Linked DNA regions of Astyanax mexicanus. The protein of the gene in region 2 interacts with the protein of the main gene of each other region in a pairwise test. Links are inferred from orthologs where the notes say so. Each region holds a gene or a part of one and is shown on either strand. Other genes may lie near its edges.

Evidence for each region.
Region 1: the proteins of C-terminal-binding protein 2 (region 2) and zbtb18 interact in binary tests that used the Homo sapiens proteins (3 or more experiments, as listed by UniProt). The two-hybrid records come from large-scale screens. The link is inferred for Astyanax mexicanus from reciprocal best matches to the Homo sapiens genes CTBP2 and ZBTB18.

The regions. Positions count from the first base shown.
Region 1 is NC_064414.1:22,908,693-22,923,920, reverse strand, and holds zbtb18 (zinc finger and BTB domain-containing protein 18), read right to left. Parts: upstream 7,972-15,228; 5' UTR 6,778-7,971; coding exon 6,729-6,777; intron 5,800-6,728; coding exon 4,166-5,799; 3' UTR 795-4,165; downstream 1-794.
Region 2 is NC_064422.1:18,506,179-18,522,022, reverse strand, and holds the start of C-terminal-binding protein 2, read left to right. Parts: upstream 1-8,062; 5' UTR 8,063-8,407; intron 8,408-15,844. UniProt on the Homo sapiens protein: Corepressor targeting diverse transcription regulators. Functions in brown adipose tissue (BAT) differentiation. Isoform 2 probably acts as a scaffold for specialized synapses.

The DNA.
Region 1 (15,228 bases), on a different chromosome or scaffold from region 2:
AACTCCATCAGGAAGGGGGTTGTTTGGGGGGAGGCGAAGACACAGCGTTTAAAAAAGTGAGGATAATAAAATTCATCTGACAGAAAGGAGGTGGTGGGGTGTGTGTGTGTGTAAGGAGGAGTGGTGGTGGTGGTGGGGGGCAGGGGGCTTACAGCACAGGGCCATCTGTGGATGAGGCCTGTTGAGTAACGCTCGCTGACTTTTATAAGAAAAAAAAAGAAAAAAAGTGGCCAGTCTTCAGAGCATCTGTAAGGCCAGGTTTGCGGCAGCGCAGATGATGAGCCAGACAATGGATAAACCTGACTTGTTTTGCTAGAGAACTGTACTTCAGGAGCTTTGGCAGCACACTCTGTGTTTGTGTGTGTGTGTGTATGTGAGGGTGTGTGTGTGTGTACGAGGGGGGCAGGGGGAGGGGTTAGTCTTCGTCAAGCTGCTGCACATTTTCCCAGGTCCAACCCACGGCTTTGCTGGAGCACCAGCCAGATATTAAAGCAGCAAATATACACGGGCCATGCATGCTCGCTTACGCGCACACGCTCGCACACGCACAGACACACTCACACACATCCGGACAGTACCCAATCCGCACAGACCTCACACACTCTGGAAAACATGTTTCCACCCACGCAACATCTACAGTAAATAAGATTATTCAACTGAAGGCAAAAAAAAATAACACACTCTTCCTTGACAGTCTATAAATCGTGACTATCTCCGGCAGTTCCAAAGTTCATTCGCATTGAAAAAGAGAGAGAATAAGAGAGAAAACAGGAAAGAACAGCACTTCTCAGGAATGAAGGTACTTATAATTTATTGCAGTTTGCACACAATTTAAAAATTTCACCAACAGCACACCAAAAAGTACAAAACTAAACAGCCTCATAATTTACTTCCCTTGAGAAAATGAAACATACTATGATTGTCAAAGCTAAATGCCTAAATCCATAAAAAGAACAAATGTCAACATACCAAAAAAATCTCATAAGGGAAGCAAATACATGTGAAGGCAATCGGCTTCTTTTTCAAAAAGCGATTGTCCTTTTTAGTTGTTTTTTTTCTCGACAGATATATCGTTCGTTCTTATCCTCTCTTCTCCTACGTGCTAGGCTTAATCAATTTTTAGTCCTTGATCTTCTTCACGCTGGGCATTTCCGTTATTTTCAAGTAAACTAAAAGGTTTGTCTATTTTACGGACATGCTTCATACGCCGTTTCACAGCATCATTGCCATTTGAACAGAAGTGAAACAAAATACATCCAGTAAACTCGCCCGTTCCAGTTCTTCTCCCCACTCTGAGCATCAATAGGCTGTTAACAGTAGTTTAAGGCGGTCAAGTACAATAGTAGAAGCCAGCAAAATGAAATGAAATTAAAACAAAACAAAACAAAAAAAAAAAGAAAACTCTGAAAAAATAAAAAATAAATCAAAATAAAATACAAACAAACCCACAATCAATCTTGTTTTTTCTTCTTTTTTCATATTTTAGAGTGCAAAAGATAAAAGTACCACCGTGCAAAACGCCCAAGGAGTGCGCGCTGTCTGTCGGCAAGATCAACCCTTTTTTACTAGCTGTTGCACCAACCAAAATCTACGCTGGGGAAGCTCAAGCCCCTGAGGGCCAAAGAGGCACGCGAGCCCTCCCTTCCTCACTCCCTCACTCCCTCTCACTCCCCCACCCCTCCTCCTCCGGCCCACCATCAGCGTGGAGCCTCCGATGCCTCCTCATTCTGTTCAGCAGCAGCAGCAGGCCAAGCGCTCAGCACTGCACTCAGCACTGCGCTCGCTCGCTCGCTCACTTACTTACTTACAGCTCCATGACAACAGCGCTTCTCCAAATTTAGGTTTTCATCTGTTTTTTTTTTTTGTTGTTGTTTTTGTTTGTAGGGTTTTTTTGCCGTTTTGTTTTGATCGTTAATAATTTTAAATGACAAATGGTGTTTAGATGAACTTTTATCTAGTTAACTCTTTCACATTCACTTTAAACAAAAAGTAAAATTGATAAATTATACAAAACAAAAAAAATAAAATAAAACAAAATATATATTTTCAAATCACACACATAACAATGAAATGTCATTCTACAGCACTGTAACCATTTTATTCATCTAGAATTTATAGATCTGAACTTAATGTAATAATGTTAATGCGTCTTTCTTTTAATTAAGAGTTAAAATCATAAAGGCATCTTTTTCTCAGCATTAATCTAATTTTGTTAAGCTTTTTTAAAAAGGTGCAACCAAGCATGCCAAACATTTTCTCCTGTCAGAGGAAGGATTATGCTTTGAGTACAAAAGAACAAAAACAAAAAAAAAAAAAAAAAACAAAGCACACCACACACTCTCACACGCACACACACTGACATTCACTCAGTCAAATCACACAGATTGGAGCTTTATGCTGTTTACCGATACTTCAGCCTTTGCCACACACAGTAGATCTGATGAGCCCATCTTTACAGGAGCCGACACAGGAGTTATAACAGCAAACTGAATCTTCATGGCCACGGAATTTGAAGCAAGTGCCAATCGAACGGATAAATAAATAAGTTACTGACAAACAAAGAAAAAAAACTAACAAAAAAGCTTGACACGTTTCAAAATGCTAGACGCGAGTAAACAACAGTTGGAGACCAGCAGTTGGAGAACAGCAGCGCGTGAGGAGGTGCTAAGCAGGAACCACACTAGCTTTGGAACAAATGTTCAGCAGGGGTTAAGCCTCCGCTGACACACCAGCCCCGTATCAAACTCCTGCCGTCTACTATAAGCCTGGAGCAAGATGCCTCGTGCACACAGACACACTTCAACATCCCACCTAACATCAGTGCATTTACACCTTACATCTTCACAGCCCAGCAGAATGTCTTAACAGGAGTCACCATAGGAGAAAAAAAAAAATAATAATAATAATAATATTAATAATAATAATAAAAAACCTACTTAGGAATCGAATGAGTTCAATAAAAAATACACTCTCCAATGCAAAACAACAACAAAAATAAGAGTAAGTTAAATAAAATTCATGCAATTTCTACAGCTGTAATATTAAAGTATATATATATTTTTTAAACAGACAGGTGCCCTGACTGTAATGAATCGGTCAATTACAGTGTACAGTAATACAGCAATTCACATCTTCTTTAATATACATGTTGGACGTCATGCAACAGATCCCATTTTGAAAACGAGAAAAAGAAACAAACAAACAAAAAAAAACAGAACAAATTAAAAATTAAAAATACACTACAGAAATCTCTCTAGAAATGCAGCGAACGTAAACCCAATCTCAGTAGAAAACGAGTGTTGAGAGTCTGCAACTAAATCAAAGATGAACAAATCATCAGTTCAATCAAACCATATAAAAACGTGTCAATTGATATGAAAAAGGAGGCTGTACATTGCATGAGTGCCTTTTTTGTCTTCTATCAGTCAAGTTTCCTATCACAAGATTTCCAAAAGGAACAAAAAAATGTACAAGAGCCTAAATAACACAAGCTTGGAGCTTCTCGAGCAAAATCCTCGCAGGATTTAAAGGACTAACTTGTTAACACGCAGCGTCTGCGTGCCGCCACACTCACACACCAGGTATGATATTTGCAAAATAAAAAGGTATAGTAGTGCACGATATATATACACACACGCTCGCGGACGAGCCTCGTGTGTACAGGTAAATATAGGATCGTAGTACCCGTTTAGTGTATGCTTATCAGTTTTGAACTTCTTCAGTGTATTACCTGAAATCTTCATGATTTTTCTTTTCTGTTCATGGCATGTTCAATAAAATCCAGGAGTGTAAAGGAGTTTATGTGTATACACTGTCAAATCCAGATTCACACAAATTTTTGTGTCAAGAGGTGACAGCTGTAGCCAGCACCCATGTCTTTAAAAATAAAATAAACGAATAAAAAACACAACTAAGTAAACCAGAAAATAAAAATCAGTAGTAACATTTTTTTCATGTGCTAGTAAAGTGCAATTTAACAAGATAAGCAATGTACATAGAAGAAACATGACTGATGCAGACCTTTTCCACCACCTCCCTGCCCATCTCTTGACCCCCTTACCTCTCTGCCTCACATTGTCGCTCTCTTTCTTTCTTTCTGACTCTTTCTCTCTCTTTCTTGCTCTCTTAACTTAAAAAGCAATTTGAAAGGGGTTTTCATTAGCTTTCATTTCCACAGTTCTTGAGAACTATCCTCCAGCGCCCAGTCTCTGACTGTGGGCAGGTTGAGAGTCTCACTCTTGACGGACAGAGAGTTGACCAGTTCGCAGTGGAACTTTCGGATGTGCCGGTAAAGGTCCCCTGACTGCGTGAAGCGCCGCTCGCACCACTTGCAGGCGTGCGGCTTCTCGCGTGTGTGCACCACGGCGTGCCGGCTCAGGTTGTGCGAGTACTGGAAGCTCTTGCCGCACGTGGTGCACGTGTAGGGCTTCTCGCCCGAGTGGGTCCGCTCGTGGCGCTTCAGCGTGTACATGCAGGAGAAGGTCTTGCCGCAGATGGAACAGGTGGGCACGTTGACGTCGCCCGCCGGCTTGGCGCGGACGCCCTCCTGCTCACGGAAGTGCGTGCTGAGGTGGATCTGCAGGATGTGCGGGCTGGGGAAGACCTTGTTGCATAAAGGGCACATGAAGATCTGCGCGTGCGGTGCGCCCAGCATGCTGGACACGTAGGGTAGCAGGGAGCTTTCCACGCTGGCCGCATCCTGCCCGCGATCACCGTCACCGCCCAGCACCTCGCTCTCGTCCTCCACCGTCTTGCTGTCCCGCTCCAGCTCACCGGCCAACGACGCCTCACGCAGAGCCGAGAGGTGCGCTTCCAGGCCCAGTCGCCTCTGCTGGACTGAGTGGATGGCATGGGTGCCATTGGTGCTGGGCGGCTCCTTCAGGCCGCTGTGCTCCATCTCGTACTCGCCGCTCGCCAGTTCGTCATCATCAGAGCCCGCATCCTTCTCTACCTTCACCTGCACTAGTGCATTTTGCAGGCTATCTGGGGTCACCGGGCCGCAGAAGTAAGGGTTTCCGCTGGCCACAACCTCCCCAGGGGGCCCACTCAGGCCAGACTTTACTGACAAGTCCAGGACACAGTCAGCATCGGCAGACACCCTGCGGGAGGGCACTGATCGGCGGGACAGTGAGCCAGTGGAACTGCTCGGGCTGCCGGCCGGGGACTTGCCGGTGTCAGGCCCGCGGGGCTCTGCCTCTCTGGGGCTGGTGGCTGGAGAGGCAGTACGTTCTGAGGCCAGCCGCATCCACATGCTGCCCGGCTCCTGCAGACAGTCCCGCTTGTTCTCCAGCTCCTCGTCATCGCTGTGCAGCAGGTCAGCGGTGGCTGGCCGACCTGTGCTGCCGCCTTCCGAGAAGCTCTCCACTTTGTCTGAGCAGCTGGATGCATCCTCCTCGCGCTTGGTGCTGTCAGCCTCAGCTGTTGCCTTCTGCTTAAGCTTCTTCTTGCACACTTTGACAATGTCATACATGTGGAGGTAGCTGGCGGCGGCCAGCACATCCTCCACGGGCAGCGATTTGAACTGGAGCTTCCCCTCGTACATGAACTCGAGCAGGAGAGCAAAGGCCGGGGCCGTGACAATGTCACTGTTCAGATGAACAATGTCCCTTTTGTCCAGCTGGTCCTTGTAAAAGAGATGGAAGTACATGCTGCATGAAGCCAGCACCGCACGATGGGCTCGGAACTGGGCATCGCCAACCAGAACAGTGGAGTCACAAAGGAATCCCTGATGCCTCTGCTCGCTCAGACACTGTAGCAAGTGTCTGCTGTGGTCTGGAAACTCCATGCTGTCTTCATAACCTGCAAAAGACCGCAGATGTTAGAGAGGCCCAGTAGAACAACAATTGTTTTGTTTGCAGCCCTGTATGGAACTTCTTTCTTTTCCCACCCGCTCAGTCTCGCTCTCTCTCTTTCACTCACTCGCTCGCTTTCTCTCTCCCCAATGCACACAGACACACACTCACTGGCTCTCACACACTAATTCTCTCTCCCCTCCCTCCCTCCATCCCTGTGGGAACACTAGAAAAATGTTCACCACAGAGCCGACATAAAAGGATTATAAAGATTCAAGTTCAAACAAATAAAATCACAATATCTGCGATCCCCATTTTTCTTTTCAATTCTCTGCCTCCTAAGTGTATCCAGCTGTGTGTGCGCTTCATATTTAGTTTCAGTAGTTTTTACAGGCTTTTCATTTTACACTTTCTTTTATGACTTTAACTAGAAAAACAGATTAATCACCAGTAGAACTTAAAATGAAAACAAAATTTGTTAAATTGCTTCAGAGATCTTGCTAGTGCGAAAGGTTTGAATGCGCAGTGTTAAAAGCTGAAGTCCCGATGCCACAGATGCCTGCGTGCAAGTCACTTCACTGCTTTTCCTCTTTGTGCTCCTGGAGCAGTTATTTTTAATAACCCACTTTGGCCAGGATGGTGCGTTTAGGTAACAGGCTTACAGGTACACAAACAGCTCAACAGCACAGTCACACTGCAGCAGCACTCCTAAGAGAGTCCTAAGTACCGTGATCTTTAAGGTTACGACACGTAAGGTAGCAGAACATCAGTGCAACTGATGTTACAGTAGTTGTTATAGTACACAGTCAACCGCCAAACTGAAAACAAACAATTCGCTCTAAATAAAATACAATTAAACTGTGCACTAAGGCTGCATCTAATTAAAAAAATCAATAAAGTCAAAGAGGAACATATAGAGAAATGTTAAAATCACACCTGTTACTCGTGGAGACAGCTCCCGCCTCAAAAAATGCATGGGCACCATGTTCAACCAGCGCACTTAAATGAACTCATTTGAATCTTCATTTAAATCTGATTGGGATACCAAGCCAAACCCCCCCTTAAACAGTGCTCAGACCTTCGTTAATGAGGGGCTTACGGGGAGGGGGCAGACGTGGGACAGCCAACCCCTAGCCAACCCCTCCTCCTCCTCCTCTTCCTCCTCCTTCTCCTCCTCTTCTCTCCCCTCCCCAAATCTTTCGAGAAATGGAACATCCTCCCCAAAGAGGCAGCCCACAGCAGATTTACAATACAATCACTTTAAGTGCCCTGTAGTCCACATCAATCCTAATCCTTAAGATGGCTAAAAATAAAGATTGCAGGACAGCTCGCAAGGTAGCAGCGATCAAATTAGGAGGCTCGGAGGACAGAGAGGGACAGAGAAGGAGGCTTATGAACATCTGATCCAGCTGACTGAGGCCATATGGCAGCTGCTGCCCAGATAAAGAGATTAAGACTAGGAGGAGTGCGATTACAGCTGTCTAGCCAATTCAGGCAACTCAAATCTGCAAGTTCTAAATTAGTCACCAACAGTAAAAAAAAAAAAAACATGCATAAGAGATAAATCTGCTGGACAGTTGTTTAGTAATTTTACAATTTGAATTTTTTTATACATTTTGAAACAGACTATTTCTATTATATTTGGCAGTGCCTTTACAGATTAAAAAATATATATTTACAGAGATTTACATGGAAATCCTTTTAGAAATTAAAATCTGGCAAAATTATTTTTAAAAGCATTTAAGCTAATTATTTAGCCGCACAAATAATACTTAAAGTTAACCAAAAATATAGTATATATAAACAAAAAATAATAAACAATCTATCTTAAAAACACACATTAAGAAACTTTTTTCTTTTTCTTCGCGCTAAATGCAACACAAACACACCGCACAAACAATGGCACAACTGTTAGATCTTGGCTACCGTTCGCTATTCACAGCAAAGCAAGTGAAACCAAAACCTACAAACAAACAGCTTTAATGAAAAGCTCGCCTGGTAACCTCGTCCTTACAACAAGAAGTGTCACTCGTCCCTATCCTGGTAACGCTATCCCGACACAAATCTTACTACTTCTTCTCCTCTTCACTGCACTGATAACAGTCACACAAAAGAAAAGAAAAAAAACCTTAAAAACTTAACAAAAGCCTAAATAGTTCCCTATTCAGAACACATGGCTGCTGGCCCGAACCCCCCCTGTCCGGTACGGTACAGTACCTGCAGTACGCATCAACTTGATTAAGTCCACTGTTGTGGTGTTGTAGTGTCTGCTGCTGCTGCTGTAGTTCCCTTCACAGAATCAATGAAGGTGGTAGTAGGAGGAAGAGCAACACAGAGAGAGAGAGGGAGAGAGAGAGAGAAACAGAGAGAGGGAGGAAGAAAAAAAAAATCAAACTGCGAGGGACAGATGCAAAGTGGAGGAGATATTGGAGGGGAATGCGATGCCTCCTCCTGCACACAGATCCGCACACACACTAACTCCCAGTCTGTGCGGTAGAAGAAAAGACTGGGGGATGGCAGCCTGTCAGCTGCTCTGACATCATGTTCAGATGGAAATGCTACCTCCAGCTGTGCTCCTTTTAGTGCCATATGCTACTCCTCTACACTCTTGCCACCAGCCTCTCCTTTATACAACTTTGTTTCTCTTTCTCTCCCTTTAAAAAAAAGCAGGGGGGTGGTGGTGGTGGTAGTAAGGAACTGTTGAGAGGTGATTCTGTGGAAACCTGGCCAATCCACCCCTCCACCCTCCCCCCCTTTACTTGTAATCTCCCAGCAAAGGAGAACTTTTGAAAATAGGTCTGTGTGAAAGCAGACACTTTTTTTCTAACCTAGTTTCCAGCACAGAGAATTTAAATACCCTCAAGTTTTTTTCTCCTCTCTTTCTCTCTTGGTGTTCTCCTTCCAGTAACCATAAACAAAGGCCAGCACAGCGCATTTGCAACTGACAGATCCACGCAGCTGATATTGTTTTCGGCTTCTTTATGGTTCACTGGCCGCACCATTACTGTCATTCATTTTACTAACCCTTTTGGGCCAGTGACGGCCAGGCAGGGGGGTGAGAAATAAAATAATGGACAATGAGAACAAGCCTATAGACCTTATAAGTAGGATCGCAACAACAACAAAAACTGTTACTTAAGAGGACTGCTTGACACTTAATATGAACAGTTTTTTTTGCTTTTGTTCCTCAAACAGCAGAGTTACACAAAATGTGTCTATTTTTTTTTTTACTAGTTAGCTACATAAATCTTATAGCCACAAGTCTGAGGACAAGGCTCAAGTAGATAACACTACCACTACAAACACTACTAATAATAATATAACAATAATAATAATAATAATAATAATAAAACAACAACAATAATAATTGTAATAATAATAATTGTAATAATAATAATAATAATAATAATAATAATAATGCTATGAAGAAGAAGAAGAAATGTATAATAATACAAGTAAGTTATACAACAGCCACTGCTTTTCCACTTAAATGTCAGTCCATACGTTTCTAACAGCTAACTACAGTTTTTTTTAAGATTTATCAAACGTACAATCCTGAGGAAACACAATGAATGAAGCACAAACAGCTACCTAAATTTTAACTTTCTAACCAAAGCACTGGGTTTGAGTTTTAACGCTAACTATTTCCACAATTTTATCTAATTAACCACAAACGCCTCCTTAATTACAAACCAATTTTTCTCATCATTATTAGTGACTTTATTATAATTATTTCGCCAAATAAAATATGAACAGCATTTTTTGTGCGAGTGCAGCTGGCTGACAAATGTGTCAGTAAAACTCACACAGCACAGCTGCACACCGCCTCATTCACACTTCACCAGCCTGCCAGACTCAAACTTGTGCTTACACCCCGCAAAACAGACAAGCGACCAGGCTGCTGTGCTAACTTAGCGACTTTTAGTTCTCTAAACTCAAACTAAAAAAAAAAACACAACAACAATAAATAAACCACGGGACAACACAGTGGCAGATTTCCACTAGCTCTCGGGAACTATCTGACTGACTCGAGCAGTCCGAGTGTCGCTTAGCTAGTTAGCTAACTAGCTTAACTAACTGCGTAACCTAGGTAACGCTAGCTAGCTGGCTAGTTAGTAAGCTAACGCTAGTTTATCCCACTTACGAGCTAGTTAACAGTTAGCTAAGTAGCTAACCGAAGTTAAGTTACTTATAGGCGAAAATACACGGTGGCTCCAGGGTTCTTCACTCACTCCCACTCACACATTTATACACACACAGCGTTCAGCATTGTGGAGGAGCAACACACACAGCACAACACACACGGTGGGTCGGTCGGTTTGTCGGCTGGCTGGCTGTTTCCACCGCTGCTGACCCCCAGCCGCACACTGAGGGGGGAGCTAGCTAGTGGCTAGCTTAACAAAAAAAGTCACCGATCTACCTGCAGGGTTTCAGTTCTGGAGCAGGCCCCGTTTCAACGGTCAGCAGCGCGACGCAACGGTCGCTCTCCAACGAGTGTTTTAACTACAGTGTGAAGCCAAGAACCGTTAAAAAAGAGGAAAAAACAAACAAACCAGCTCGCCACTTTTTCCACACCGATCGAGCCCCGGCTCAGCCCCCCCTAGTTAACTACAGCTAAACATCTCCTTAAAGAGCACCTCGCGTTTTATAAAGCCCACTTACAGACAACAGAGCTCCAGTTCCTCCTCTCCCGCTTCCTCCGCTCCAATCTTCTCCGGGAGAGAGAAGAAAAAAAAAACAAACCAACTGGATCGACTTTCAACGGCTTTCCATACCAGCCCGCCGTGGCATAGAGACGCAGCGGCGGAGAGAGAGAGAGAGCAGAGCTGCGGCGGCGGCAGCAGCCAGATGTTTCCGAGCTGTTGCTACTCAACTCTCCAGCGAAGAGGAAGCGCTTGAGTGGCAGCGCGAAAGCCAATGGAAGAGGCGCGGAGGGCGGCGGAGGCAAATTGGAAGCAGCCGCTGAGGGGGAGAGAGGGAGGGATGAGGCGGCTCGGCGTAGGTTGACACCAGGCAACAGTGAGAAAGCAGAAAAAAAAACAGAAAGGGCCGAGCGGACTGGTTCCTACAACAGACTGGCGCAGAGCACGGAGAGGGGGACCGGCCGCGCACTGATACCTGGGTACTGTAGTCAGAGCGGGGCGGAGAGCAGGAGCAGGTGCAGCAGCAGCAGCAGCAGAGCCCAACTTTACACTGGATCATACACTGGATCACAGGCTCACTCACTGACTCACAGACTGACTGACTGACTGGAGGTGGGAAAACTATATTATACCGAATTAGAATTATTACCATGATATTTATGTAAGGATATTCGTTCAATAAATTGAGCTAATTAATTAAGAACAAATCAAAATGTAATTACTGATAATAATGATTAATATTAATTATTATTATATACTTATAATACTAATCATTATAGCTAAATAGTAACTACTGTTTTTGCAGAGTGGAGAGTGGATGTAAACTAAAAAAATCTAAAAATAAAATGAACATAAGATTTGAAACGTATGTTTTTGTTTTGGTAATGTTCTTGGTTGTGGCTATTTCTTTTAATTATAAAATACTGTAAAATATAGATTACTTTAAAGACATATGTAATAAAAAAATATATATGTATTTTAAGACAATTGATTTTTTTTCCCAGAAGAAAGTGTTCAGTGCTGGTGTGGAAAGCTTTAAATATTTCAGATGCTTGATTAGCCAATTAATCAGAATTATATTTTTGTTCTTAAATGTTATTGTTCTAATATCATTGTTGGGGGTCAGTATGAAATGTTCTATTTTTGTGTTATTAAAAATCACTACATAAAGTGTACGTGTGGTGTAAATCATGTAATACAATAAAATAAACAAATAATTCATAGTGATTACGTGTAATTATAATTATTATTATATTAAAACATTTTCATTTTCAGTTTAGAAAAAAAATGGAAAGTTACAATAATATATACCAGTGAGAGTCACATTGTGACCACTGACTTCGCCACAGTTCAAGCGTTCTTCCTGCAGAACTCACTGATTGCACAGAATTCGACTCAGTGCAGTGTGACTAACTGTGGAGAACGTGTAATCAGGTGAGTGCTGAGGCCCCACAGATGCGTAACTCAAAGTTCAGTCAGGACCTGATGAATGCAGTCACTTGTTCCTCGTATTTGGCTGCCATGGTCCCACACTCAGTGTGCCTCTTTCGCCCCAGTAAATTAATTGGCGTTACTAATACATTTCAAAACAAACCACTGTCCTCCCTAGTCTGGAATCTTGACCTAATACCATTATTATTTAATGCAAAGAATGGCCTCCTCATTAAGCTGATGTGGTGAATGTGTCGGTGCGTGAGCCATTACATGTGGGTGACAGTCTAAAGCACACCGCATTCTTTCTATTGTCGGTGTCGTGCCGCCCAACAATCTGCTCCTTGTTCTGTCAAGGAGTGTTGCGAATTATCGTCATTCAGCATCATTCACATTATTGCTCAATAGAACTGCATGGGTGAGAATGGTCTAGGCTCAAGCTAATAGTCTGTGACTTGTGGGAAAAAGGCTAAACTTGTGCAGATGCATCACTTCCTATTCTTTGACTTTGCACACTGACTATGACAGTGCGAGACATCTATTTTGTTCACAGATTAAACATAAAACAAGAGTTCTATTTAGCATCGTACATCCAAACCCAGTGTTGGAAGTTCTCTGTTGCCACTTTATCACAGCTTGGAGACGTGCCATATTCAGAATACACAGCACAGCAAAGTGGAAAAGTGAGTATTTGGAGTGACATGAAGATTTGTGAACCTTTGAACTTGTAGCAAATTATTATTTCAGCCTACACCAACTGCAGTACCTACATTGTTACTGTGGCTTTTTTAGCAAGATGGTTCTGCTTGGTCAGGAACCATTCAGGAAGAAACGAATCCTCATATTTAAAACGGTGCACACCAACCACAACAGGGGGTCCTTTTTTAAAGGCCATGCCAAGCTTCACTTCAAAAGTCCTGTCTTGTGTGACAGAGAGATACAGGAGAGAAAGAGAGAGACTTCCAGTGATTAGCATAACTGTTTTTGTTCCATACCTCAGTACCACAAGCACCAAGTGGCATTTTTTGATTCCAAATTCTTGAGATTGCCATTCATTGAATATGGCTGTACTATCAGCTCAGGCTGCCTGATGTTTGAAATGATGTTTCCTGCGATTCCTTCCATCTGTTTAAACTGGAACAGTGAAAGATGTGAAGGATTTGTTGGCTCTGCTTTTGAAAAGCAGTGTTGTGGAAAGATATGAAGGACTATTAGAAGTCATTTTACGCTTGTATCATGTTTGGATAATATTTAAAAACGCACAAACATTCAGATGTATGTCTTTTGTCACATAAAATTAGCCTTGAAGTAGCAAGGCTAAAGTAAAGGTTTGTTTTTTTTGAGTTTGAGTTAAAAATTATTTAATTATTTATGATAAAAGAAATATGTCCTAAAAAATCTCCTAAATCTCTGTGTTAATATAACCAATCATCACAGAAGACCTATGAAATGCATGATTTGTATAATTTAAAAGTAACTTCAGTGGGAATCCTTCAGAAATGGCTGCTCCCACCAGTTTCCTAAATGTGCCTGAATTCCTTCCCCTAGAGGTCACTGTGGAACCCGTCTTTGTGAAGGCAACGTTCCTGTGCCTTCCACCAGCTCAGACAGCTCCACTAAGCCTCACATGTCCTATTAAACAATACACACTGCACATGTCCTCCCAGTATGTGTAAAAACACACACATGTACACACTCAGCAAGCATGGAAATCTGTCATTCACCCAGCATGCTTAAGCATTCCTCCCCAATTGCTGGGATTCTCCTTCTAATTATGCTAATACATGTTGCTTGGAGGTAAGAATTTCACGGCGGTGTCTGCCATTAGACAGGATTAGGCAGATGTTGATACACTGGCCTTTTTGATGGGATTAATCTTGCTCCAGAGCACACAGCGAGAGAGAATGTCCAGTAGCATAGCTGCACGGCTGCCCACTGCACAGCAGACACTGAGGAGCCTCGATATGATACGAAGACCATGCTCTGTAAGATCAGTAACACCATAAACAGTGATTAAAACAGTCCAGATTCAGCTGATCCGCAGACTAAACTCGCATGTTGTTACTACAGCCACTTCTCAGAGCATTGCCCTGAAGACGTCGCTGACATTTCACTCCAGGAAGTAACAAAGGAAAGCGTTGTGCTTCGCACCTCTGGGTCTATTGCGTCTCTGGCAGCATCTGGGTAAAGCCCTCTGATTTGTAGGCCGTAAACAAAGCTAAATCCAGTTAACAGTGTACTTAAATGTACTAAAGCACACTCTGTTTCCAATATATAAAGTTTGTTCTGTATGATATTCTGTTTTATACAGAATGCCAATTTAAAAAAGGATATAAAAAAAACAATATATTTCTTTGCATTTATAAAGATGTTTTCTCATTGTCAACATCTGTCCTAGAATGCTAAACATTACATGACACACAGGTATATCATCACATCATATTCCCAAAATATCTGAAGGATCCTCCTTACTTGTAAAGAAACACCCTGACCATTATGGAATCCATTTTTCTTTTTGTGCAAAATTGCTTTCTGGGGAAAAAACAGCATTACTGAGATCTACTAAAGCATGAGTAGACTGATAAATCACTGTTCTGGTGATCAGTCATTTATCTCAGTGTTACTGAGCTCTACTACAGCATGAGTAGGCTGATAAATCACTGTGCTGATTAGTGATTTATTTCATTGTTGCCTTATCTTTTATGAGGGATGATTTAAACTATTCTCACATAAGAGGTTGAGCTTTTTTAATATAATTTTATTCCTATTTTTTTCCATTTTCACATAGCCAATAACCTAACCCACTCATTAAGACTCCCACTATCACTAGTGATGCCCCAACACACAGGAGGGTAAAGACTAACACATGTCTCCTTCGATACATGTGAAGTCAGCCACCGCTTCTGATGCAGCATTGCCGAGCAGGAGGAAAGCGCAGCGACTCGGTTCCGATACATCAGCTCACAGACGCCTTGTGCTCATAGAGTGATGTGTAGAGAAGCGCCATCTACCCACCCGGAGGGAGCAGGGCCAATTTTGCTCCCTCTGAACGCCGGGAGCTGATGGCAAAGCTGCATGAGCTGGGGTTCGAACCTGCGACCTCCTGCTCATAGTGGCAGCTCTTTAGACCGCTGGACCACTCGGCGCCCCAAAAGTTGAGTTTTGTTTAATGATGGCCTTGTTGTAGGCATGTAATGATAACTATTTTTTTAAATTGTCCCAGAAATGGTATAATTGTCATTTTAAGGCTATTTATGACACTCATATAATGATTATATAATAAAACAACAATGTATTTGCCCAATACTATTAAATACCAATGAAGATTTAATTTATTATGACAGAATTTTGGAAAATGTAAT
Region 2 (15,844 bases):
TCACTGACATCACTGTTCTCCACCTAATACCGTCATTCTCTAACATCTTTAACCAATCAAACCACACTATTCTCTATCAGTCACTATCATTCACCAACAAATTACGTATTTTCCCAACAAAGATGTTTGATCTTTACAAATCTAGTCAGTTCTGCTCTCTAATTACACTGTAAACATCTAACTACTGCTCTGAGCTTGAGTCCTTCAGTTTCCTCCTCACTGTGAAATCTGTCTGTGAGTGAAGAAGGTCATCATCACTTTCTTCAGATCTTCTCTGTGACTTTCGAGGAAGGAGGGAAAGCCCTCCGGAGCTTTTTTTTTTTTTTTTTTCCTCCACTTGACTGGTGGAAGCGTCTCCCCGACATAATCTTCCAGGCTGCCGTGCATGTCATTACTCTCCTAAATTACAAACATCATTAGCGGAATTGATTCCAGTCGGCCTCCTGGGGAACCAGCGCCGCAGCCGAGACTCCGGGGAGTTGGGCTCCGAGTACGTCCGTCCCCTTTCACAAGTTCAAGAACACTCTGCGGGGAACTCTGTTAAACACCCCCCCACCCTCGCACACACCACCACCACTATTACCACTATCATCACCACCCCCCTGAAACACCAGCGCCACCTCCAAACTCTGTTCTTCATCACAGATGAAAAAAGGAGACATACAGTTCCCAGTATTCCCAGTACCAGTGTATTATTGTATCAGTACTACTTTATGAGGTCACTGGGGCTTGATGCCACCTGTAGCTTATAACTACTCAGGAATATTAAAGCATTAAAATTAAAAAAACAATATACAACTATGGAAAAAATTCGGAGAGCACTTCAGTTTCTGAATGAGTTTCTCTAATTTTAATTTATTTATAGGTATGTGTTTGAGTAAAATTCCCTAATTCCAAATTTAGAGTCATTTCGAACATTTATTTGCATAAAATGAGAAATGGCTGAAATAACTAAAAAAGATGCAGAGCTTTCAGACCTCAAATAATGAAATAATGAAAATAAATAAATAAATAAATCATATTCATAAAGTTTTAAGAGTTCAGAAATCAATCAATATTTGGTGGAATAACCCTGGTTTTGCTAGTATTTCCCCACGCCCTTGACTGAAAGAGAAGATAAAGAAAAGATGAGTGAACTCAGATGATTGGGCAGGAGTTCGGGGCAGCTTCGCTGGAAAAGCATGAAGCTGAACCCCCCCCCCCCCCACACACACACACACACACACAAAGAGAAACAGGAGGAGAAAAGAAAAAAATTGAATGAGGAAGATGGGGAGGAGGTGGGTGCGAGGTTGTTCGACATGCAGGTAGAGAGGAAGTGGCGATTTATACAGGTCAGACAGTGGGAGGAGTAAGGGCGTGCATCAAACTCCCAAAATTAAGTTATATAACACAGATTTTAACTTTTAAACACAGATTTATGCATCGTGGCATGTTCTCCTCCACCAGTCTTACACACTGCTTTTTCAAATGCCACTTCCACTAAACTGCAATGTGAAACCAAAACTAACTGGACTAAATATACAGCATACAATGTAACAAACACATCAGCCCTGGTTTGTTCTTTCATCCGGCCTGAAACATGATCAAAGATGACGGAGAGACAACCTGAGAAAATGGGAGAAATAGAAGATTCGGATTCATGCATCGTGGCATGTTCTCCTCCACCAGTCTTACACACTGCTTTTGGATAACTTTATGCCACTTTTAGGAGACAGAATTAAGAGACCACTTCAGTTTCTGAATCTGTTTCTCTGATTTTGCTATTTATAGGTATATCTTTGAGTAAAATGAACATTGTTGTTTTATTCTATAAACTACAGACAACATTTCTCCCAAATTCCAAATAAAAATATTGTCATTTAGAGCATTTATTTGCAGAAATGAATAATGGCTGAAAGAACAAAAAAAGACACAAGTTCATATTCATAAAGTTTAGTTTAGTGTACAGAAATCAATATTTGGTGGAATAACCCTGTTTTTTAATCACTTTTTTCATGCATCTTGGCATGTTTTCCTCCACCAGTCTTACACACTGCTTTTGGATAACATTATGCCACTCCTGGTGCAGGACAATAACAATAACAATAACAATAACAGGACATACTGCACTCAAATGCCACTTCCACTAAACTGCAGTGTGAAACTGAGAAAATGGGAGAAATAGAAGAATGGAGAGAAGGGAAACAGTTATGTTTAATACAGCTCTGGAAAAAATTAAAAGACCACTTCGAAATAACAAAAAAGATGCAGAACTTTCAGACCTCAAATGATGCAAAGAAAAAAAAGTGTTCAGAAATCAATCAATATTTGGTAGAATAACCCTGGATTTTAATCACAGTTTTCATGCATCTTGGCATGTTCTCCTCCACCAGTCTTACACACTGCTTTTGGATAACTTTATGCCTTTACTCCTGGTGATTCAAGGAGTTCAGCTTGGTTTGATGGCTTTTGATCACCCATCTTCCTCTTGATTATATTCTAGAAGTTTTCAATTTGGTAAAATCTATGAAACTCGTCATTTTTAAGTGGTCTCTTTTTTGTTTTCAGAGCTGTATAAGAAATGTGAGTATTTGAGTATTGCATTCTGCATTTTTGTATATAACAAATGATACACTGTGCCTGTAACATGTTTATTTTCATTCCAGTACAGGCATTCCCATTTCTATAGCTGTCAATCAACTGCATTAGAGTGGTGGTGAATGCGGTTGGAGCCTATAGAACCTTGTTTTTATCATGCGACCGCGTTCTGAAAGGCTTTAGATTGCAGGTTTTTGTTGAGTGTCAGAACATCTTCTTCTATACATTCCCCCCCAGATCTATACCTGAACCTCGCCTCTATTCTCAGAGAACAAGAAGATCCTCCAGCGCACAGCCTCGGGGGGGGGGAGGAGTGCTCCATCCAGCCTTTCACTCTTAGATTGAAAGAGGTGGCTCTCAAGGGATCCGTCCGTGGTCTATATACGCTCGGCCTATATGCTCAATGTATGTGTGCACATTGTGAGCAGGGGTCCTTGGAGATGCTCTGTGAAGTCGGCTTGTGAATCTGAGACTATGGAGATGGAGGTCGGAGGTCACGCCGAGAGGGGCGCTCTGAGGCGGTCCGAGCCGAGGCCGGCCCTGACCTTATTTGCAGTAATATAATGAATTCCACCTACTAGATCTCAGCGGAACATTAGAAGCCCCCCACAGGGTCAGCCGGTTAGCATGTGTACAGGATGTAGTGTGGACCAGGAGAAAGGAGGCATCAGCTTCAACTTCAGCATCAACATCAGCACACTCCTTTTAGGCGTTTAGGCGTCCTGAGATCACAGCTGTGACGGGTGAGGAGATGGAGAGGATTATCACTGTTCCCTTCACAGTAGCACTATATAGAACACACCCTTTCATAGGTTAAACACACAGAAATAGTCCCCATATGACTGTTCTCGGCCTGGGGTGATTCTAGAATCAGTGGTTTAGGGGTCCAGTCCATCAAACCCTCAACTTAAAAAGCTCCACCTCTCCCCTTAAAAAAATTTGTGGCCTGTAAATGAAGTTCAGTTCACAGGAGAGTTCAGAGGAGGGGTGAGTGTGTCTTATTAAAAGAAATAAGATCATTTTTACCTTAAATATCATTTTAAAATATTTTTATCAAACAATCCTGGCACAATTGCATTCTCCATTATCTCGTCTAATGAAGTTGCATCATTTATTTTCACTTTATTCTCTTAGCTATCTAAAAAAAGGGCATGGACAACTCATCCTGGAGGTACCAAAAGAACCCAGAACAACATTTAAAGAGCTGCAGGTCTCACTTGCCTCAGTTAAGATCAGTATTAATGATGACCAAAAATAACACAATGGCCCATCTCACATTTACCAAAAAACATCTTGATGATCTCCAGGACTTTGGGTAAATATTCTTTGGACTGAAGAGACAAAAGTGGAGCTTTTTGAAAGGTGTGTGCCATTACATCTGCTGTAAAACCAGAAAAAGTACTGAAAAATTGTAAGTAAAAGTACCTTTACTTTGCTAAAATTTTACTCAAGTAAAAGTAAAAGTACCCATCTAAAAATCTACTCGAGTAAAAGTAAAAAGTACTTAATTTAAAATGTACTTTGAGTAAAAGTTACATAGTTACTTTTAATTATTTGATGCAAAAAAGTAAAAACAAATCATAAATTAAATTGTTTTTAATGAACTATTATTTCACATAATAATTTGGATCTTTCAGGCAGTATTTGTTTAGACCACCCCATAAAACATTTTCAAGAACAAGTGGCCCAGGTTTCTATGATCCATTTTTTTCTTTACTATTAAAAAGTTATGGTAATATAGGAGACTATAAACTGTTATTTTATAGTTTTACAGTTCATTGTTATTTTTTAACTTGCCATTGATATGCTTTAACTGCTATTTACATTTTTTTTAACATTCAAGCAGATTATTTAATGATAAAAATAATTACCACTACATGCTTTCACAGGTTTGATGTGGAAGTTTTGAAAGCTGAACAGCTCTGTCCGGTGGGGCACATTTTGCATTGCATGAGGACGTTATTGCCTCGTTATTCCACGCGCGAGCATCTGTGTTCTATCTATTTTTTTTTAATTCAGACAATTGTTTTTTTTCCTCAGCATTTTATTTTTTACTCAGTAATTGTGAGTTTTCCAGTGTAGCAAAGTAAATTACTTGTGTCAAAATGTAGTTGAGTAAAAGTAAAATTACCTATTTTAAAAACTACTTTAAAAATTACAAATTACTCATAAAATCTACTCAATTACAGTAACTTGAGTAAATGTAATTCATTACTTTCCACCTCTATGTAAAACCAACACATAATGTCAGAAAATAGAACATCATACTGAATGTAAAACATGGTGGTGGTAGTGTGATGGGCCTGGACAGCTTGCCAAAATAGTTGGAACCAGGAATTCTACTGTTTACCAGAAAATCCTGAAAGAGAAGGTCCGGCCATCTGTTTGTGACCTCAAGCTCAGGTGTACTTGGGTTCTGCAGCAGGACAATGATCCAAAGCACACAAACAAGTCCATCTCTGAATGGCTTTAAAAAACAAAAACTAAATAAAGGTTTTGGAGTGTCCTAGTCAAAGTCATGATCTTAAACAGGTGGTTTATGCTGGAAAATCCTCCAATGTGTCTGAATTAAAACAATTCTGTAAAGAAAAGTGGAGCAAAATTTATCTGTAAAGCTTGATTGCAGTGATTGATGAGTGACACAAACAAGTTATAGGTTTAGGGAGCAAATACTTTTTTATACAGCGCTAGATTGGTTGGGATAGTGTTTCTTTCCTATAATAAGCACCGTATACTATATATATATATATATATATATATACAGTATTGAAGAGTATCATACATAACAGGAATAGTCAATACTCAATCACTGATTCCTACATTGGTGCTATAAATAGAGCACTGTTATAAGGAACACTAACAGTTCCCTAATCACTGATCCTTATTTTGACCCACTATAATGTAGCTGTTCCTGTTCCTTTTATTGGATCAGTTCACTGTTCCCTACTTTTGAACACTATATTGATTAGGATTAGTCCTATAAAGAATTCCTTAATGTTATACATTTCAATCATTTTCTCACATTTGCTACAAACTGACGATCCTCTGACCATCATTGCTCCTCAAAGACTAAATCATGGTTATAATCACCTGTTCACATCACCTGTTTGAAATCGCATCATTATTTAGTTAATTTTTGACCTTATTACTAACCAAAGGCAAATAGCCAAATGTGATTATAGTTTACAAAGTATGCAATGCAATTACCGTCATGTACACTCAACTAATCACTGATTATTTGCATTTATTAATCAAACGTAACTGATGAATCGTGACAGCTGTAGTTTAGTGCTCTGTAGAACACTTGTGAATGATGCTTTACTAATGATTGACAATTATGTCATCGTTTGCATTCCGTTATAATGTAGGATCATTATGGGTATTTTGAGCGCGGCGAAGTCGGAGAATTAGCGGGCGACGCCCGGAGGATTCATCACAACACATTAGACGTTACAACAACATGTAAATCACCAGTTTAGGATGAAAGAGAAGATGGCGCGTGACACCCGGGCGATAAATAACATCATCTGCCGGAGTTTTTAATGAATAATTCACCAGAGTCTTCTGTCACTGTTAAACTTTAATGAAGACAGACATCAGCCTAATCCATATTTACACTCCTCCGGGCCTCGCGATAAACCCTCACTCACTCTCTCTCTCTCTCTCACTCACTTTCTCTCCCACTGTCTCTTTCTCTCTCTTTCTCTCTCTCTCTCTCTCTCGTTCTCATCGAACCGTATCGAACTTATGGAGCAGAACAAAACATAGGCTCGCTGTTTGTCCTATTGTCTGTCCTATTTTTTTTTATTCTTTGTTTACTTTAGAGCACATAAACTATTCAAGCATAAAAAAAAGAAATTGTGGAGGTTGGCTCTCAGAAGCTGAAGGTTGGAATAAGCTGAATACCTGTGCTGTGAGATGTTTGAAGCCCGTGTTTTTATACACTCAGAAATGCCATTATACCATGAGCACACTGAGCTCGTTGTGAATGGCTCGTCATCACTCAGCCTCTTTAGAGCCGTTCTAAAGCCTGCAGCTAAATTATTCACAGTCGGTGGTAAACGCTAATCGTTATGTACGCTAGCTGCTTTCTTAAAGACTACTCTCGCTGATGAACGAGTTACCGTGGGTCGCACGAGTGCGCTACGCTCCAGTGTACGTGACACACCGAGCTAGTGTACAGTAAATGTGTTTGTATTAGTGGTGTCAGTTGGTTAAAAAATTTAATCAGGGGTGCCGAGTGGTCCAGCGGTCTAAAGCACTGCCACTGTGAGCGGGAGGTCGCAGGTTCAAATCCCCGCTCATGCAGCTTTGCCATCAAGCTGCCGGCGCTCAGAGGGAGCAAAATTGGCCCTGCTCCCTCCGGGTGGGTAGATGGCGCTCTCTCCCCACATCTCTCCTAGGGTGATGTCCGCAGCACAGGACGTCTGTGAGCTGATGTATCAGAACCGAGCCGCTGCGCTTTAATCTGAGTGCGCTATGATGCTACTCAGCAATGCTGCAGCAGCTCAAAAAGAAGCGGTTGCAGACTTCACATGTATCGGAGAAAGCATGTGTTAGTCTTCACCCTCCTGGTGTGTTGGGGCATCACTAGTGATAGAGGGAGTCCTAATGAGTGGGTTGGGTAATTGGCCGTGTAAATGGGAAAAATTAGAAACAAAATTATTTTAAAAATGTAATCAGATCAATCATAACAATACTCTGTGATTAGCTGGGTTTGCATACTGTGTCATGGGTCTCCCAACAAGACAATGACCCCAAACATACTTCAAAAAGCACCCAGAGATGTATGAAAACAAAATGCTTCTGAAGTCAGAGTTCTGGAGTGGCCAAGCAATGAGACTGGATCTAAATCTCATTGAACGCATAAAGAGAGATCCTAAACTTGCTGGTGGGAGGAGGCATCCTTGAAATATGAGAGACTTCAAGCAGTTTGCAAAAGAAGAGTGGTCCAAAATTCCTGTTTAGATGGTATAAGAAGCTTGTTGCGATTGAAGCAGTTCATTTCCGTAATTTTTTTTCCAGTGGTTTTTTGTGTGTGTTTTTGTAGTATTGTGTGAAATTGTAAACATTTGTTTTTTTTTTTGTTTTTTTTTTGTTGTTCCAGTACAGTACAGTTTCTTCTTTAACTATGTAAAAACGTGTAAAACATCAAGATTTTCCATAAAAAAAGAGAAAAACATAATTTACGAGAAATAAAAATGAAGAAATAGGCAAGAACTGATCTATTGTTTGGCTTGGGGTCAAAGGTCAGGGTTGAGGGCAGCAGCATTTAGACAGTCATACAGAAACAACTGACAAAGATATGAATACACACCAGTGTGTGTGTGTGTGTGTGTGTGTGTAGTGGATATGGGAGGTGGGAGGTGGAGGGGGGGGGGGGCTGTTTCTTTGGGCTTTGTGTCATTGGTTTAGCAGAGCCAAGACCCCGCCTTGATAAAGAAAGGAAGAAGAGTGGAGAGAGAGAGAGAGAGAGAGAGAGAGAGAGAGAGAGAGAGAGAGAGACCAAAAAAAAAACACCACCCCTCTCCAACACTCTCCAACACTGCTACACTGTTTCCCTTCGGCTCGCGCGGCACGAAAACACGCGCGCATCGCCGTTTTCTCGTGATTTTCTTCGCTACAGATTTTCTTCGCCGCGCGCGCCCGCGGCCTCAGACTGGATACAAAGTATCGCGTTAAAGAAGCGAAAGAGGACAGTATCCCCCTCTCCAAAAAGAAGACTACTGTCCTCCTTCTGCCGAGCTGGGATGCTATCCCTGGACGCCTAAAAACATTAGGAGAAACTCCTTCACCGTAACTCGCGCTGACCGCTCTTCACGTTGAGGTACGCTCGCTGTTTCTGTGTTTTCGGATGCGTTTTTGAGGTCGGATATGTGACTGTTTGTGTTTTATTTAGCGTGTTTGGATTTGACCATGTGTTTACGGAGCTGAAGTTGGCTTCTGATTTTGGAATTCCTCCGTTCCACCTTAAATAGGGCAGCATTTCCATTCTGACTCCTTAAGCGCCAAAATGGAACTGCCGCACTGTTTAAGGTGGAACGGAAGAATTCCAAAATCAATTCCAACTTCATGTTTTCGCCTTTTTTGCCATACGAATCTTAACTTAACGGTAATTAGTAGAGGTGTGGACGCGTTACTGTGTTTATTTCGCTTTGACTATGGTCTTAAACCCCATTTTTATGTTTCATTCATCAAAAAAAGGTGGCGTGTACCATTATTTCTGAGGCAATGTTGATTTTCTCAATGTTGCAGAACCAACATATACCCATATATGGCTAGTAATGAATGATATATATAAAATGCTTGTGTGTATATATTATATTGTATTATTATATTATTATTGTATTATTAATATATATATAATATTATATTATATTGTATTATATTATATTTTGTATATATTTATATAATATAATATAGCTTTGAAAAAATTGATCACAAGCCATCAAACCAAGCTGAACTGCTTGAATTTTTGCAACAGCAGTGGCATAAAGTTATCCAAAAGCAGTGTGTAAGACTGGTGGAGGAGAGCATGCTGCCAAGATGCATGAAAACTGTGATTAAAAACCAGGGTTATTCCACCAAATATTGATTTCTAAATTTCCTAAAACTTTTAATATTAACTTGTTTTCTTTGCATTATTTGAGGACAGAAAGCTCTTCATCTTTTTTTGTTATTCTGAGCATTTCTCATTTTTTTCAATTAAATGCTCAACAATGTTTGTTTTACTCAAACATATACCTATAAATAGCAAAATCAGTAACTGAAGTGGTCCCTTCCAGAGCTGTATGTGGTCCCTTTATTTTTCCAGAGCTGTATATACAGTATGACTTATAAATATAATAATATTTATACAATTCGTCCACCTGCAAACCAAATGGTCCAAATGAATGGAGCCAAACGTGCAAAAATATCCCCCACCCCCTGAAAGTTACTTACTCAGATAAGGGGTTAAAAAAGCTTGTAATATATCTATACTGGTGTTTCGATTTATCTAACTGTAGTTTCTCCCAGATGTTAACCGTACATTTATATTTTATGGTTATATATTTTTTTAATGCTAATCTATGGCTATGACATTTACTTTTTTTTGACTATGATGACATATATACTAGTAGACATATTGCTATTTTTATGACCAATTGGTAATATCACAATTTTCATCATACTTTTTAATGCATACCAGGTTTACCATTCATCCACCTGCAAGTGCTTCAAATACCTCAAATGGGTGCAGTGTGTGCAGTAGTTACTATGTCCCATAAAACCTGTTGGTACATTTATTTTTTTCATATTTTGCTGTTTTATGCCCACCCTGAAACCAAGCAAAGAGACTAAATGGGGATTGATAGTAATAATAATAATAATAATAATAATAATAATAATAATAATAATAATAATAATAAAATAGAATCATAAGTGATCTTTTTTTATCTGGATGATATAGACATTTATTTTTCAATATATTTCTTCATTTCAGTCGATAAGTCGAAAGGCCACAGAAACTAACCAATTCATGTAATTCGCTGTAAATAATGTATATTTAAATATCAGAAATGTGTTGACATTGATTGAATGCCAACCCTAGCTTTTTTTCTTGTTATGTTGTGTTGTGGTGTAAGATACATACAAGATCACATCTCTAACAGGTATTTGTAACCTTATCTGGATCTCATTAGTAATCTATTAATTGGTAATGATGAAGAGGGATGGGTGGTTGAGGGGATGGATAGTGTGCTAATTGTTGTCCCAGTGGACCGCATGTCTAATTCTACACAGATCTTTAATCCTCACCCTGTGGTTGAGGGTCTTGTAGAGTGCCAGATCCTCTTACAGAGGGCAGGAATGTGGTTAATGTTGTTTTATCAGCTGGGTTTAATCAGTGTATATAGAGGAGTGCTAATAGAAGTGTTTTTTATGATTTGGACGTGATGCTCTTGGATATCGTGGTTCATTGTTGTAGGTTTTTTTTTTATTTGCTCTGGTTGTTAGATTTGTCAGAGGAATGGTGAGGGCTGTACATTTCTCAGAATTGCTCAAGTGTGTATACACAGTGTAGTGACATGTATTTGTATTTTGACATGTACACATAATATATACACATACATTTACAATAGATATTTATAATACATACCTAATAGGATACATTTAAGTTAAATGTATTTTTTGCACTATAAGATGCACCAGATTATAAGGCACATTATGCGCCCCTAGTAAGGAACAGGCATACCTGTCAAGTCTCCCGTTTTGGCCGGGAAACTACCGTATTTTACTCCTCTTTCCCGCCGTCCTCCCGTATTAGTATTTTACCGTAAATTTCCCGTATTATATTAAAATTAAAAAATATATATATTATTGAGGAGACAGGGAGCTGACTGCTCTGTGTCTCTTAACCAATCGTGGAACCGGTTCAAGGAGAAAGTCCCGCCTTTCAGGAGAAACAGCCAATCAGATGGCAAAGGAGGGTCAGTGTGGGGAAGCCCCCGTCGCTGTGAGTTCAGGCAGCTAGTCGGAGCTGCTGATGTTAAAACATATCTGGATATTCAGCGATTTTTCTAAAAGAAAGGTAATGGTAGGCGGCTAATCATGAAAACTGTGATAAGATTTTTCTGATAGCTGCTAAAAAACACTCGTCTCCGAAATAAAACACACAGATTAAACCTTTTAAAATAAAAAAATTACACCTTGTGACTCAGCTTAACTAGAAATGTGGAGAGGACCGAAATGAACTGAACTGATCAGGGGTGGAGTGATCAAAAGAAAGAAGTACTAACTAAAAATTATTAATTGTGTAGGCCACTTAGGACTAATTTTTACTGATGGAATATATCTGGTCCATGTCCTTTTAGTAAAAGCTCATGATACTATTTTAAGGTCACCTACAGTCATTTTGCAGAATTTGTGCACCCTTTGTTCAATTTTAAATCTATTAAATAAATAAAAAATATATTATATAAAAGAGTGCATTTATGCCAAAAAAGACATGAAATCTTAACTTTTCTTAAATATCTAGAAAAGGGTTTTTAATTTGGCTGTATTAAAAGAATGACATATGTAGGAATGTCCACAACATTTCAGATTCTGATAATCTAATTGTAGTGTGTAAGTGGTTCACATGTGGTTATTTTAGATTTTTTGTAAACTTGTCCTAAAATGTAAGGGATACTGAACCTTCGTTGGGCTGGTGGGACGACTTTAAGAGGACAGAGGAAAATATCCCTTATTTTTAAATCTAAAACTTGACAGGTATGAGGAACAGGGGTGTCGCTATTTTTTCCTTCTAATTCAGCAGATCTTGCCGCTGGGTGGTGGTGGGCGGTGGAACTAACTAAGTTAAGTAAAGCTAAGCAAACAAAACCGTAACACAGATTTTCCCCCTGAAAACTGTTTATTTGGGTGAGTAAAGTGCTTCTGTTTATTTCATCCTGCATCCCGTCCTATATACAGATATACTTGCCTCTGAACAGTGAAAGAGCTAGTGCTTAGTGCGGTTAGCGGCTAATGCTGCTCCAGCAGTGCTAGCCAGGGGGTAAGCAGTAGGCTAACAGCTGATATTTCTAAAATTCATACGTGAGGCAAACAGACGATTTTTGGCAAAATGAAAGGATTTTAAGTGTGCCTTATAGTGTGTGAAAAACAGCATATATATATGTGTGTGTGTGTGCGTGTGTGTGTGTGTGTTTATATGTATACACTGTATATGTATGTCCAATTAGCCATGGTAGCAGCTGTTTCGTGTAGACCCCATGAAGGCTTGGACCCAACCCAAGTTGTCAACATCCTTCAAGATGTCTTCTGTCCACTTGTTAGAATCACTTTGAGTTCTTGCATTTTGATTGGCTTAAAGTGAGTCCTACATGATACTACTCTCTGTAAATATTGGCATGTCAGTTGTACAACACCATAGAGACTAGATACAGCTCTGCACTGTATGATGGATGGATGGATAGATGGATTTGTAAACATGGTACAAAATAGTATATTTAATATATATATATATATATATTTTTTTTTACATTAAGGTTAATTGACGTTTCATTCAGGCTAACATGAGCTTTACAAAACAGCAAGAAATATGGGTATTCTACTTACCCATTCGTAAGTAGAATATGTTTATCTATAAATCTATCTAATAAACTCTAAAGATAATCAATATGTACCAAACAAACACTTTTTTTGTTTGCATCTTTTTGTATGTTCTGTGTGTTATCTGTAAAATTAACTGTGTGAGGGTAATAAAAACATTTAATTTAATTAGTATTTTTTTTTTCTATGTACTTTATGTTTAGTATATTAATTAAGCACATCAAAAAAGTTTCTGTGCTCCAAAAGTAAATACAAATGTTTTTCCTGTATTTTTACACTTTGAAACTGGGCAATTTTACTCGTAATATGACAACACAATTACGCTAAACAAATTCCCCAATTTTAATATTAAAGTCAAAATAAACCAGACGAACTCCAGACGAGAAAAGAAAAATCAAAAAGGAGATCTACTTAATATCTCTGTAGTTTTTTTTAGATAACAATGAGATCAAATAAAAATACTTTTAAGAGACTTTAGCATAAGTCTCCTGCTGCTCAAATTTGTCTCCTGACATAAAGAGCTCAGTATGGTCTCACGTGTGTCTCCTTTTGAGGTTCTCTATAGCTCTTGATGGCAGTGGTGGATCAGCAGTTGGATCAGTTCTTACAGTTGGGTCAGTAGTTACAGCACTGGGCTATTGATTACAAGGTTATGGGTTTGATACCCAGGTTGATACCCACCAACAAATCTCCCCTGTTCTACACACTAAGAAAAGTAAGTACAGATTTGTACTTAAAAGAGTACAAAGCTTGTCGCTGGGGCTGTACATTATACTGAGGTACAAATAATTACCTTTCATTAAAAGTCCTTTCTTTGTACCCATGTTTTTTATGCCAGTAAAAATGATAAAGATTATAAACATTATCATCATATAAATGACAATAAATAAATGTGTTAAGAACTTGATGATACAAAATTGTCTGGCTTTCAAATGTGAAAAAAATGTGCAATTAAAATTAGTTTATTAGTACAGTGATAAAGAATACTGAATTTACCTTTTGACTGGTTAAGTGGTAAAAATCTGTACTTATTTCTTTAAGGAATGAATTTGTACTTCAGAGAGAACACATCTGACCCTCTAAAAAAAATAGTATTCATTTGAGGGTACAGTTATGAAGAGTATACTTTTGAATACAAAAAAGTACTCATATCGTACTAGAGGTGTGCCATATCATATCGTATGCGATAGTATCGCCAACATTTTTTATATCGTGAACAATATTATACCCTGAAATATCGTGCCATTTCACTCACCCCTAATTATCACATCAGGGTACTACTTTTTTTGGCTGTTTTAAGCAAAACAAAAATTCACACTTACCACACATTTACCATTATACATCTACTATAGACAAATTATATCTGTTTAGTATCACTTATTTTACTTTAATCATGGATATATGGTGAAATATATATTAGGGGTGGGCGATATGGCTCTAAAATAATATCACAATATTTCAGGGCATTTTTGCGATAACGATATATACTTGGCGATATAGGAAAACTAAAATATGAGGAATATATAATGATATATATAATATAATAGGAATATAGTATAATAGTATAACAGAATCATAATGTGGCAAAATAAATAATGTAGCATAAAATAATATAATACAGCAAAGAATATTGCAGAATATTTAGTGCATGCATATAAACTGCAAACTAAAACAATTATACAATAAATACACTTAAAGCCTCACAGTGAATAATACTACTTTTAAGACAGAACAGCCCTATTATCACGATATGGATTTTTAATATCATTATATTTCTGTGTCACGATATATTGTATACGATATAATGTTGCCCGCCCCTAATATATATTTTTTATATTTATATTTTGTCATATCTGTTATCGCGATAATACTGTGATGTTAAAAATATCGTGATATTATTTTAGGGCCATATCACCCACCCCTATATCGTACGTTTTTTGTGTACTAGTGTACTATGTGTCTAAAACCACATTCTCAGTTTTGAACCCTTTAACCCCATAAGAAGTGTCTTATGTCTCATTTTTGTCTAATGCTTTTGTCTATTCCTTCTAAGCAATTTTAAAAGAAACCTATGAAACAATGAAACCTGTGAGAAAGTAAGGAAAACTAAATACATCTCCTGAGACATCAAAGTTCAACATTTGAGCAATACAACTTTCCTATGGGTCTGCACTGTTTAATTGTTTAGTTTTTAGTTTCACTGCAGTGTGTTGAGTGTGAAGCTGAGCTCACTGCTGGTCAGGTGACTCGAGCTGAAATGTTGGGACAGTGTTTGGTACAAGAGACCAGGACAAGGGACATAGGGACTTTATGATGAGCTGAGTGGGATAGAAAGTGTCTCTGAAGGAGATGATTGAAGATTGATTGATTGATTGATTGGAGCGAGCTGATTGGGGCTTGCTAAATGGGACCCAGCTTCACCAGCACACTCCAGCACCCGTCCCCGTACAGCAGCAGCAGGAGTGTGGTGTGTGGTGTGGAGGGGTTTAGTGGCAGGGGGGAGGGGTTAGTGGCCCAGGGCTGGACGGTGCTGAGCTACAGATGTGTGTGTTCTGTATTGTGGAGAACCGTAATATGTTGGACGGCTCACTGCAACAATAGAGGCCTTGTTAGAGCAGCCCATAAACAACCTTCAGCCACCAGCAGCAGAAATCTGCTTCCTCCCTTTTATTCCTTCCTCCCTTTTATTCCTTCCTCCCTATATTCATTCCTTTACTTTTTCCTCCCTGACTGCCTTCTGCACTTTCTTTCTTCCTAATCATTCTGTAATTCCTCTTGTTGTACTTCCTTCTGATTATTATTTTTTCCTTCAGGTCTCTTCCCATCTTTAGTCCTTTTCACTGTACTTCATTCCTTCCTTCCTTCGTATTGAGCATTGCAGTGAGGATTTGATGGCTTTTGGACATATAGTGTCTCAGTAGGGCTGGGTTTGAGGTTAAAATAACCTGTAAGAACTAAAAGAACCCACAGGGAGGTTACTTTTCTAAATCCTGAGAGTGCTTCCTCAGGCCTCGTCACGTTTTGCTTGCTTTGAGGCGTAAAGAAAGGTGGGTGGGGGTGGTATTGGCGGTGGAAGGGGGGGTCAATTTGAATGTGCGCTTTAATTGGTCTCTGTAGACCCTCTTCTACCTCCTCACACTTTCCTCGCTCTTCAAAAATGTCTGGAGCGCAACGG